Linked DNA regions of Mus musculus. The protein of the gene in region 3 binds, or shares a complex with, the protein of the main gene of each other region. Links are inferred from orthologs where the notes say so. Each region holds a gene or a part of one and is shown on either strand. Other genes may lie near its edges.

Region 1 (3,647 bases), on a different chromosome or scaffold from region 3:
ACCCAAGGCCTCCGGCGCTTTTCCTTTCCATTGGTAACTGGGTGTCTGGGGAAGGAACTCGGGTAGGAGAAGGCGGAGCTGCGAGGAGAGAGGTGAGCTCAAGCCTCTGCCTGCCACTTCTCCCTTCAGAGCCTGTTCCAGGGCAGTGGAGACGGAGTGGAGATTCGATATGATTTGTTGGACTGTCACATCAGCATCTGCTCTCCTCAGGTGAACTCTCCAGAACAGGGCTGTGTAGCCAGAGTAGAGCTCTCGGGGGTCTGTAATTGCTCCCTTTCAAGGCCAGGGTATGCATCTTTTCCCTCTTTTTCTGACTTGTTGTATAGTAGAGAGGTACCATTACCTGACTCCCAGTATGCTGGGAACCAAATCTAGGGTTTTGTCCCACAGCCATTTCTGGGTTTCATAGCTCTCTGGGCTTGTTACTTGTAAAGTACTTAACCTTAGCGTGCTCTGTTTTCCTCACAGGTAGCTCAGCTCTTCACAGACAATTTTGACTACCAAACTCGAGATGATTTTGTACGAGGCATATTAATGAATGAGGAGGTGAGAAGAGCTTCCGAAACCTCTAGTAGAAAGGGTTTATCTTACTCTGGTAGCCTTTGGTTCCCTTTTGTGTTTCATTAAGCCTGAGAACGAAAGCTCTGGTCGTTTGACTATGTCAGTGAGAGGCGCTGAAAAGGCTTAGAAAGGTGACATGCTTGGGGTTCGTCTTCCTGCCTCGCTTGATTGGGTAACCACCCCTTCTCATTTAGGTCCTAGGAAACCAGATTCACTTGCATGTGACAACTAGGGAATATGGTGCCCGGGTCTCCAACCTACACATGTACTCAGCTGTTTGTGCTGACGTCATCCGCCGATGGGTCTACCCTCTCACTCCAGAAGTAAACTTCACTGACAGCACCACCCAGAGCTACACTCATTCCCGACACAACATCTACCGAGGGCCTGAAGTCAGCCTGGGCCATGGCAGCGTCCTGGAGGAAAATGTGCTTTTGGGAGCTGGCACTGTCATCGGCAGCAACTGCTCCATCACCAACAGTGTCATCGGCCCTAACTGCCATATTGGTGAGCACAGGTGGGGAACCCAGCAGCGGTCCTATAGATACGGGGCTGCAGTGTGTCTCCAGAAGCTAGGGAGGATGCCGAGGGACAATCCTATGAACAGGAAACTAGAGTGGCTATCATAAGGAAGGAGCAGAGGCATGGAGAGGTGGTTCAGTGTGCATTGCTCTTGCAGAGGACTCAGATTCTGTTCCCAGGATTCATAGCTCATAACTCAAGTGCAGGAGGAGCCAGTGACCTCTTCTGACCTCCTCAGGCACCAAACATGTGCTTTGTGTGCATACATAATTTGGGCAAAACACTCACACACATAACGTTAAATTGACTAAATCTTGGGCCAAAGGAACAAGAAAAAGAAAGAGTCCTCGTGCTTGCTGGTGCACACAGACCGAGTGCTGGGATTAAAGGCCTAAGCCACCACACACACCCACTGTTGCCCACACTTACAGTCCCAGCACCAGGAGATGGAGGTAGGAGGATTACAAGTTTGAGACCATCCTAGAACTGTATATCGAAATTTGTCTTAAACAAAATGGCAGGAGGGCAGGACAAAGGAAGTCAGTTGGCTACAGTTGTATATGATCCCATCCACTCTGGAGCATAGATTGCCTCAGGGCTGTATGGCCAGCTTGGTTTTTTTGAGACAGGGTTTCTCTACATAGTCCTGGCTATCTTGAAACTCTGTAGACCAGGCTGGCCTTGAACTAACAGAGCCGCCTGAGTGCTGGGATTAAAAGTGAGCACCACCACAGCTCTACCTAGTCTGTGTGTGACTCTTACATTCTGAAATGTCCTGTGTTCACATTTGGAGGCAAGTGGAGTTAGTGTGTACTAATGACCTTTGTCCAGTCGTAACAGCTTACAGAAGGCTTCTGCATGTGCTAGTTCTCCTGTCCCAGTAACATCTAATGTAAGGCAATGTTGGGACCTAAATGCTAGTTGTGGGCTCTTTTTTTTGTTTTGTTTTGTTTTGTTTTTAGAGATTTATTTATGTATGTGAGTACACTGTTGCTCTCTTCAGATACACCAGAAGAGGGCATCAGATCCCATTATAGATGGTTGTGAGTCACCATGTGGTTGCTGGGAATTGAACTCAGGACCTCTGGAAGAGCAGTCAGTGCTCTTAACTGCTGAGCCGTCTCTCCAGCCCTCTTTTTTTTTTTTTCTTAGTGTATTTATTATTGTTTTATGTGCATTGGTGTTCTGCCTGCATGTCTTTGTGGGGCTGTTAGATCCCCTGGAACTGAACCTACAGACTGCTGTGAGCTGCCATGTGGGTACTGGGAATTGAACCCCCGTCCTTTGGAAGGGCAGCCAGTGTTCTTAACCGCTGAGCCATCTTTCCAGCTCTCTCCATGTTTTTTTTTTTTTGCTCTCCTATAATCTTTGTATTCCTCTTGACATCTCACTTTGGTTGAAGAATATGAGACTAATAATAGTAGTAGACCTTAAAAGGACAACAGTAGGATTCATATTCCGTAATACACAGAGAGGTGGAGTCATTGGGTTCTCCTTGTAGGTGTGAACATGATTGTAATAAGGTTTATGGTTCATTCTGAGAAATCCTGAGGGTTCTCAGATTGAGCCATACATATAGTGTAAAATTATTGTAAATTTAGTAGAGGATGGTCACTTTGCTCTTGGGGCTAACCTTGGAAGGGACTGAATGTTTCTAATGTCAGCAGGTAGAATATCAGCTAGATGGGAGCTGGGCTGGGGCTGGTGTCAATCAGCCTGTCCTCTGTGAAGGACTCTTTCGGATGTGGGACCCTGAGTGACCGGAAGTCCTCCTCATTCTGAGCCAGGTGATAATGTGGTACTGGACCAGGCCTACCTGTGGCAGGGAGTTCGAGTGGCTGCTGGAGCACAAATACACCAATCTCTGCTCTGTGACAGAGCTGAGGTCAAGGAGCGAGTCAAACTGAAGCCATACTGTGTTCTCACTTCCCAGGTAAGGCTTATTCAGACTCTGCACAACCCCAAAATTGAATAGTGATTGTGCCAAGTCAAAGGGGACCATATTTCCCCCTGTAAACAAGACTGCAGTAAGAGCCCCAGTTTCTCTAACCTTCAGCTTAGCTTAGTATAAAACCAGAGCAAAACAAAAAACATTGTTCTGATTGTCAAGACACAGTTCTCAGCCGGGCGGTGGTGGCGCACGCCTTTAATCCCAGCACTTGGGAGGCAGAGACAGGCGGATTTCTGAGTTCGAGGCCAGTCTGGTCTACAGAGTGAGTTCCAGGACAGCCAGGGCTACACAGAGAAACCCTGTCTCGAAAAACCAAAAAAAAACAAAAAACCACAGTTCTCCTCAGTGCACGATGAAGTCTGGGCTACTTGATTCTTTTTTTCCTCTAAGGTGGTAGTGGGCCCAGACATCACGCTGCCGGAGGGCTCGGTGATCTCTTTGCATCCTCCAGATGCAGAGGAAGATGAAGATGATGGCCAGTTTAGTGATGATTCTGGAGCTGACCAAGAAAAGGAGAAAGTGAAGCTGAAAGGTGTGAGGCTCAACAGGTGTGGGGCATCTGTGCGTCTGTCTGTCTGTCCCATAGACAAGCATGTTCCCTTCTAGAGAGAGA
Region 2 (4,351 bases), on a different chromosome or scaffold from region 3:
TGAGTTTTGAGACCAGCTTGGCTGACAAAGTGAGTTCCAGGACAGCCAGGGCTATACAGAGAAACCCTGCCCCGAAAAATAAATAAACAAACACCCCCACCCCCAACAACCAGACATGCACATAGTCCCACTACCAACTGGGAAGATGTATGTGGCACTTGCGCATCTGTTTCTATCAGTATGACTATTACATGATCTGGCCATTGCCTAGCTCTTTGACATACCACGTTCTCTCTAGTTCTCCCTATTTGAAGATAAGGAAATGGAGGTGCAGGCTGAGCAACTTGCCCCTTTATATACTGATATGTGGTGGAAGTCAAAATTTGAGCCTATTAAATTTTGAACTATTTGTGCTCTTAAAATTAGACTATATTAACAAATATCTTAGCAACATCTAACACGATCAAAAAGTAACCCTGATAGACACTCAAGTGTTGGACGTATGTATCACATACTCGGCCAAACTACCAGGACAGAAGTGAAAGTACTGTTTATCTAAAAGTAACATGTGGCGGATTCATTTCTCCTCTGCTCAACAAAACAGGGATTTAGTAAATAAAAGAAAGTATCTACTCAGCTAGAATACTCATTTGGAAACAGCAGTTCCATTTTTTAAACAGAGCTTCTCTTAAGGGAGGGAATGCAAATGCTTTCAAATATCTGTATAGAGAAAACTCGGGAATTAAACAAAGACTTCCAAAGTAAGCATCAAAATAAACACTGTAGAAAAATGTCTAACAATGCTAGGAGATTTAAAAGCTGCTAGTCATATTTATTAAGCAAATTTCTCCAAATAGTAGCATCCAAAAAGGTGATGCTTTTTGTCTTCATCAGCTGGTTAAAGGTTACAGGCAACAGGGTAAGAGAACACAGAATGGAAACATGGCCACTACTTTAAAAGGCACAAATCTGTTTGCAGAATATGGAGTAAATAATGAAATGGTATATTACTTACAGTAGAAAGAAAGTATTCTGAAACTACAAAGGGATTCGTGTCACAAAGAACTTACTTGTTGGCTGATTGACTAAATCAATTCATAAAAACAATTATTTAAAAAAGAGCCCATGTTTTTTTTTTTCTGTCAATAAAACAGAAATCAAGAATTTATTCAGTCCTTTTTGATAATTTTCAAAGCATTCTGACTTTTTTCATTTTGCAATTTAATCTGTTAAAACAATTTTGGGGGTAGTCATTACTTAGTATTAAGCAATTCTGACACAAAAATCCCTCCCTAGGGAATTAAGTACTAGTGGGAAAACAAATTAGGATTACAAGGTGTTCTGAAAAGGCCCAAAAAAGTATTAACAGGAAACCAAGGAACAGAAATATAAGTGACTTCAAAGACAGATACATAATATACACTAAAAACAAGAACTAAACTCAAGTCTTTAACACAAAATCTGATATCCACAAAGTTTCCCTGTATCACACACAGTATGACAATGTTAAGGGCTCTCCCACCCCCCCTTTAGAGACAGGGTTTCACTGTGCAGCTCTGGCTGGCCTCAAGCATTTTCAGTGCTGGGATTAAAGATATGTGTACCTCACACCTCTCACAAGGGATCCCACTTCTGTAGTTAATGCCATACAGACTGTATGTGTTCTGATGTAAACAAACAAAAACACACTTCAAAGCTAGTTTCAAATACCTTGCATTATTAGTATTTTGCCCCTGTTAACTTCTAGAGTCGGTACATTGTCATGTCACCATAGCAGATATGGGCAATGAACATTCCAAAATAAAATGTACCACGCTGGGAAAACGCTGTTCAGCTCTAAAGTTTACTAGTACAACTAAGTCTTTTGAGAATCAGGGCCCACCATCTGGCATCATAGGCACAGAAAAAGCACTACAATTTCATAACTGACATTTTTGATGAACTGTCGAGGGTCTCCACCTCTTTAACAACAACTTGAGGAGGAGAAAAATCAAGACTTTTCTGATGTACCCTTTCTTCAAGAAACAATGTTTGTTCCTTAGTGGAAATTAAAGCATCCTAAATATAAGGGGGTGTTTAAGAGCCCCAATGCGAGTACACACTTAACTCTAAAGTTTTACGCTTTCAGCGTCCATAATTACAAAACTCCAGTTTTATTTTCGCAGTTACCCAAACAGGGCAAATAACTTCAACAGCTGATTTTAAATTCCAGGAATTCACTCATACAGAAATGCACAGCTAGAGCGAAAACTTAACGACCTCAACACTAATAGTTCCATTTTGGACTTTTTTTTAACTTAAATATGGTGGTTTATCCTATTGTTTCTTTGGCGAAAAGTTCAGTCTCCACAGAGAGAAAAGTTTTGGCAGTATCTTGGGGCTGAAAAGAAGGATAAAAGAAAGAAAAAAAAAAAAAGCCCAAATTCTCCGGTCCGGTAAAAGCAATCGTCTTGAACTAGGAGTGGGACTGGAGTCGAGGGTTCTCCAGAGGCCTCCCCACCACAAGACATCTTTAAGGAGGCTGTAAAAATCTACTTGGCCCACGTTCCTTCAGGGGTTCCTCCGCCCGTCCAGCCACGTTTCTGGCTCGCAGGAGCAGACACCGGCTGGCGAGAGGGCGCAGGAAATCACCAGCGGGCGGTGGCGACGGGGTCCAGACACTTCCCGCGCAAGAACGGGAAAGGGGGGGTAGCCCGGGGCCTAGCCGCACTGGACAAAACCAAGGCGAATCCTCGGGGAGAGCAAGCTGCGGGGCCGGTCACCTGAAGTGGATGTGTGAATCCCGAAGTAGGGTCCCACGCCGTGCTGCTTAGTGGCAACGAGGAGACTCGGAACACCAACCCCGGACGCCGAAGCTCCTCAGCGTGCGCTTCGCCCAACCCAGCGCGCATGCGGAGCCACCTCTCACTGCGCAGGCGCCGACAGAAAAGGATCCTTCGTTGCCACTAACCATAGAGTCTTGGTCCTCCTAATATGGGCGGTGTGAACCAAGGGACGAGCTGAAGAGTCACTGCCCCTGGTATTTATAGATTTTTTTGCGGAGGGAACTTGCTAGGTTTAAAGGAGAGGTAAGTTTCTGTTTCTTGCTCCAGGATGATCGCTTTAAGTTTTAGTCAACCAAGAGAGGGCGCTGTGACGAATGGCGGAAAGCCGAGGAAGAGGAGGAGCGTGATCCTCTCCTGACCCATCCCTCAGAGCGTGCTGGGTGCCGGCGACTCGCCGGAGGGAGGGGCGGTGGAGAGACCCGGAATTCCGGACTGTGCGCGCTTCCACATCCGGGCATTCCGTCTCCTCCCCCTCCCTCAGTCCTCGCCCAACAGGAACCGGAAGTGGGAACCGGTTTCCTGGTTGCCTCTTAGCAACGCAGTTGTCAAGTGACCCGGTCAGCTGACTCCCGTGGAGGCGGGCACTGGGGTAACCGGTTCTGGAGGTGTTGCGGTCCCGATTGTCTCGCCGGGGGGCCCGAGCCGAGTCACCGTCAGGATGTCGGGCAAAGACCGGATTGAAATCTTCCCTTCGCGAATGTAAGTTAAAGACTAGGACAAGCGACAACCGTGTTCAGGCACATCTTCCCGGCGCGCATTCCTGCGTACCCTTGGCCACCAGCAAGGTTCCTTGGTTTCTGGGTCGCTCCTTGAGCTTTCCCCAGGGTCTTCGTTTCCTCTGAGTTCCGAGCGAGGTTTCTTTCCAACGCTCCCCTCCCCTGCTGTTTCTGAGAGAAGAGGCCGGAGAAAGTGGTTCCAGTCCACAGGAAAAGGGGGTTCACCTGCTGGCAGCTTTTGGAGGTCGATGCCTTTACTCACTCATTCCGCACACCCTTTGAGCCACACACGGAGTTTACATAACTGAGCCGTCGGCGCCATCTCTACCTCCCAGGGCTCATCATTGCTGAGGATTGAGATGTAGACGCTGAGGTCTGACCAAAGCTCCCAGACGGGAAGTTATGTGACAGGGAAGCAGCTAGAAGGCCCCTCAGCCAAAGTGACATTGAATGTGTCACCCTCTCGCAGCTGTAGGTTTCAGTCTTGGATCCCGTCAAGTGTTATTTGCTGTGGGAAGATATCCCTGCATTTCTGAGGTATTCCTATAGCCCTGTGATGACTGCACTCTTTACGTCTAGCAAGTGTCACTCATGACACTGTCACGCGGGTATTTATTTGGGCTGTCTCCTGGATGAAGGAGGCATCTTTTTAATGCATAGAAGGTCCACAGAAAATTGTTCCTTGAACCCTTGCTTGGGATGTGCTCAGTTACAGGCCGCCTTTCTGCTTTGGGTTAACATCCTTGTTAGGAGAAGTGATGAAGTGAAAACTTGAAGTTTTCTCAAATACATATAATAACTTGTGGAAAGAAAAGGGTATTTGTGCTCTCATCTTCAATTGTTCCTGAAGAAGGAAATCAGTTTTTATTC
Region 3 (3,229 bases):
GATTAAAGGCAGTGTCAGGATGTCCAGCTATTATGTGTAAGTGTACTTTGTTTTTGTGTATGTATATCACAAGCATGCCTGGTGCCTGAGATCAGAAGAGGGCCTGAGACTAGAGTTACAGATGGGTGTGAGCCACCACATGGGTGCTGCGTATCTAACCCAGGTCCTCTGGAAAAACAGCCCCTGCTCTTAACCGCTGACCCACCTCTCCGACTCCAGAAGTTGTTTTTGAAACAAGGTCTCACTCTGTAACCCTAGCTGTCTTGGAACTCAAATGTAGACCAGGCTGGCCTTTAAATTTACAGAGACTGGCTACCCTTGCTGGGATTAAAGGAGAATTCTGGGAGTGCCACTCTGCCTGGTCTATGAATAGGTTTGATACCTACCCAAACCATCTTGCTCCAAAGCACTGGCCTGGAGCTAAACACCTTGGAAGGGTTTCCATAGACAAGTTCAAGTAGGTGATGAAGGTAGCAGAGTGTGGGCTTCTGACCTAAGAGGTAGAGATGCTCAAAGATACAAAGGCAGCAGAGTCATGGGAGTAGGGAGTAAGCTTTTTATTGACCCTTGTTCCCTTCACTGGTCACTGCTCTTGACTCGAAGAACAACAGGCACAGAACTGCAAGGGATCATGCCCAACTCTGTGATCACCAGATCCACGAGCTCAGGTGGAGTCACGTCATAGACCAGATTCAACAACCGGAGGGACGGGTGGCTCTGCCAGTTAGCCAGGGCCACCTGGTCTCCCCGCTTACACTGCAGATCATCGGGATCATCTGAAATGACAAGTGGGTGTCAACATCCTTTTAGCAAAGAGGACATGGCTAATCTCTCCTCCCTGTCTCAAGTTCTCTTTGGTACCTGGAAGCCTCCGTTCTGCTCTGCTTACCTAGCTCGTTGGAGACAAAGGCATCAGTCTGCACACGTTCACAGAACTTGTACGTTTCACAGCAGACCAGTACTGGAACGTTATGAGCTCGAGCCACCAGGGCCAACTGTGCTGTCCCTACCCGAGACATCACAGATCCATTGGCCAGGAGTGCATGAGCTCCCAATAGCACCTTAGAAACCTGTTTGTTTTAGACAGTGTGGACATGGAGAAAAAAAAAGTCATGTTATTCAGTATATAATAAAGTTCCCCACTTCTGCCCAGAACAGCAGCAGTAAGCAACAAACCTCATTTGCTGCTGCTCTTAGAAAATATCTTTTATCATCACAGCAAAGCTGCTTATTCTATTAATGGCTGCTATTTTAATATAATGTTCTTGTATTAGCTACATTGTATTACTGCATGTAGCAGTTGCTTTTTCTCTTTTTTAAATATGTATGTATGTATGTATGTATGTATTTAGTGCTCTGCTGCACGTACACCTAAATGCCAGAAGAGGGCATCAGATTGCCTTATAGACGGTCATGAGCCACCATGTGGTTGCTTGGGAATTGAACTCAAGACCTCTGGAAGAATAGCCAGTAGTTAAACTCTTAACTGGTTGAGCCATCTCACCAGCCATTTCTGTTGGCTTTTTGAGACAGGCTTTCTCTGGGTAGCCCTGACTGTCCTGGAACTTACTCTGTAGACCAGGCTGGCCTTCAGATCCACCTGCCTTGGCACCCAAATGCTCCACCCAGAAGCTAGGTGCTTTTTCCTATTAAGGATCAAAGTGTAGGGTGTGGTGGCACACACATTTGATCCCAGTATTTGGGAAGAAAAGACAAGCAGATCCCTGTGGATTCCAGGCCAGCCAGGACTACATAACGAGACCTTTGACTCCTCTCCTCTCCCCACAAAAAACGGCTATACAGAGAACCCTATCTCTCTAAAACATAAACAATCAAATGCATAAATAAGAGGTAAGGGCCACTGAGATGGCTCACTGGGTAAAGTCATTGTGGAGCCTGGCATTCTAAATTCTATCCTCAGGACATAAATGGTGGAAAGAAAGAACTGATTCAGTTGAGTATGGTGGCAGGTGATCTCTTGTGAGTTCAAGGTCGGCCTGGTCTACAAATCAAGCGCTAGGACAGCCAGGACTACAGAACTAGTGCACAGAGAAACCTTGTCTCAACAAAACAAAACTAACAAAAAAAAATAAACCAAGGGGCTGGTGAGATGGCTCAGTGGGTTAGAGCACCCGACTGCTCTTCCGAAGGTCCAGAGTTCAAATCCCAGCAACCACATGGTGGCTCACAACCATCCGTAACAAGATCTGACTCCCTCTTCTGATGTGTCTGAAGACAGCTACAGTGTACTTACATACAATAATAAATAAATCTTTAAAAAAAAACAAAAAACAAAAAAAAAAAAACGAAAAAAAGAGAGAAAAAAAAAAGAAACAGAAACAGAAAAAGAAAGGAAAAAACTGACTCTTCCGAATCGTCTTCTGACTTCAACACCCCCCACCCCCACCCCACTATTCCTTATTTCCTGTCACAATAAATAAGTGTGAAAGAAAAAAGAAAAGAACACAAGGTAAGACTATTATGCTGGGGTTACTCTATCCTTCTCTTTTATCTCTGGAGTTCCTTTGCTGTGAGAACCCTCACCTCTGGAAGCACATAGGAGGCTGCAGGAATCAGCAGATAGGAGGTAGGGACCCCAGCACGGACAAGAGAGTGGAGCATGTGCCTTCCTTCCAGCCGGGGCCGGCTGTCCACCACCACCACCCGAAACCGCCTGCCCTCGACCCTGGCCTCCTGGAGAATTCTCGACACCAAAGATGAGCTAGATATGGATGGAGAAGGAGAAGAGATGTTATTCAAGTGACTGGCTGGTAGCCAGCCTGTCTGCAAAGGCAAGGGCAGCCTTTTCTTCTGACAGTCCCCTCCCCAGTTTTCTCACTCAGGTGCTGACCATACCATCCATATACCAGGATCACGTCCCCATCACTGATCTTTGTAGAAGCAAATCGTGAAATTGCCTGAGCTGCAAGCACGATCTTCTCTTGCACGTACCGGTCGAGGGCTTCTCTAAGTTCTGACTTGGCCTAAATGTTGAGAGAACATGGATGCAGTTCACCCTCTGGTTGGCATACCGTACGTGCCAAGCATGGTGGCACACACCTTCCAGCACTTAGGAAGCAGGTGGAATCTCTGGATCTGAGGCCAGCTTGGCCAATCTACTGAGCTCTAGGTCAGCCAGGATGAAATAGACTGTCTTGTGCCATTTACTTGTATAAGTATACATAACAATGGGTCTGCGTGCAAGTGCCTAAGTGCTCCCCTAAGCCTG

Evidence for each region.
Region 1: the proteins of Eif2b4 (region 3) and Eif2b5 are in contact, whole or in part, in a cryo-EM structure (PDB 7D46), measured with the Homo sapiens proteins. The link is inferred for Mus musculus from reciprocal best matches to the Homo sapiens genes EIF2B4 and EIF2B5. Residues at the interface, in NP_001029288.1 of Homo sapiens: Arg357, Tyr393, Pro396, Glu397, Lys466, Arg467, Glu469; in NP_003898.2 of Homo sapiens: Arg163, Lys294, Arg339, His340, Glu357.
Region 2: the proteins of Eif2b4 (region 3) and Eif2s1 are in contact, whole or in part, in a cryo-EM structure (PDB 6O81), measured with the Homo sapiens proteins. The link is inferred for Mus musculus from reciprocal best matches to the Homo sapiens genes EIF2B4 and EIF2S1. Residues at the interface, in NP_001029288.1 of Homo sapiens: Asn245, Glu246, Glu247, Arg250, Thr285, Ser520, Ser521, Asp522; in NP_004085.1 of Homo sapiens: Met30, Tyr33, Met45, Arg55, Arg57, Arg75, Glu79, Lys80, Tyr82.

The regions. Positions count from the first base shown.
Region 1 is NC_000082.6:20,501,775-20,505,421, forward strand, and holds part of Eif2b5 (translation initiation factor eIF-2B subunit epsilon), read left to right. Parts: coding exon 1-33; intron 34-129; coding exon 130-210; intron 211-468; coding exon 469-546; intron 547-755; coding exon 756-1,068; intron 1,069-2,870; coding exon 2,871-3,016; intron 3,017-3,424; coding exon 3,425-3,566; exon of another isoform or gene 3,567-3,582; intron 3,583-3,647. UniProt on the Homo sapiens protein: Acts as a component of the translation initiation factor 2B (eIF2B) complex, which catalyzes the exchange of GDP for GTP on eukaryotic initiation factor 2 (eIF2) gamma subunit.
Region 2 is NC_000078.6:78,860,532-78,864,882, reverse strand, and holds the start of Eif2s1 (eukaryotic translation initiation factor 2 subunit 1), read right to left. Parts: upstream 2,812-4,351; 5' UTR 2,703-2,811; intron 1-2,702. Other genes in the region: Atp6v1d (V-type proton ATPase subunit D), read left to right, coding at 3,424-3,464. UniProt on the Homo sapiens protein: Member of the eIF2 complex that functions in the early steps of protein synthesis by forming a ternary complex with GTP and initiator tRNA. This complex binds to a 40S ribosomal subunit, followed by mRNA binding to form a 43S pre-initiation complex (43S PIC).
Region 3 is NC_000071.6:31,187,025-31,190,253, forward strand, and holds the end of Eif2b4 (translation initiation factor eIF-2B subunit delta), read right to left. Parts: intron 2,985-3,229; coding exon 2,857-2,984; intron 2,723-2,856; coding exon 2,545-2,722; intron 1,071-2,544; coding exon 890-1,070; intron 777-889; coding exon 577-776; 3' UTR 534-576; downstream 1-533. UniProt on the Homo sapiens protein: Acts as a component of the translation initiation factor 2B (eIF2B) complex, which catalyzes the exchange of GDP for GTP on eukaryotic initiation factor 2 (eIF2) gamma subunit.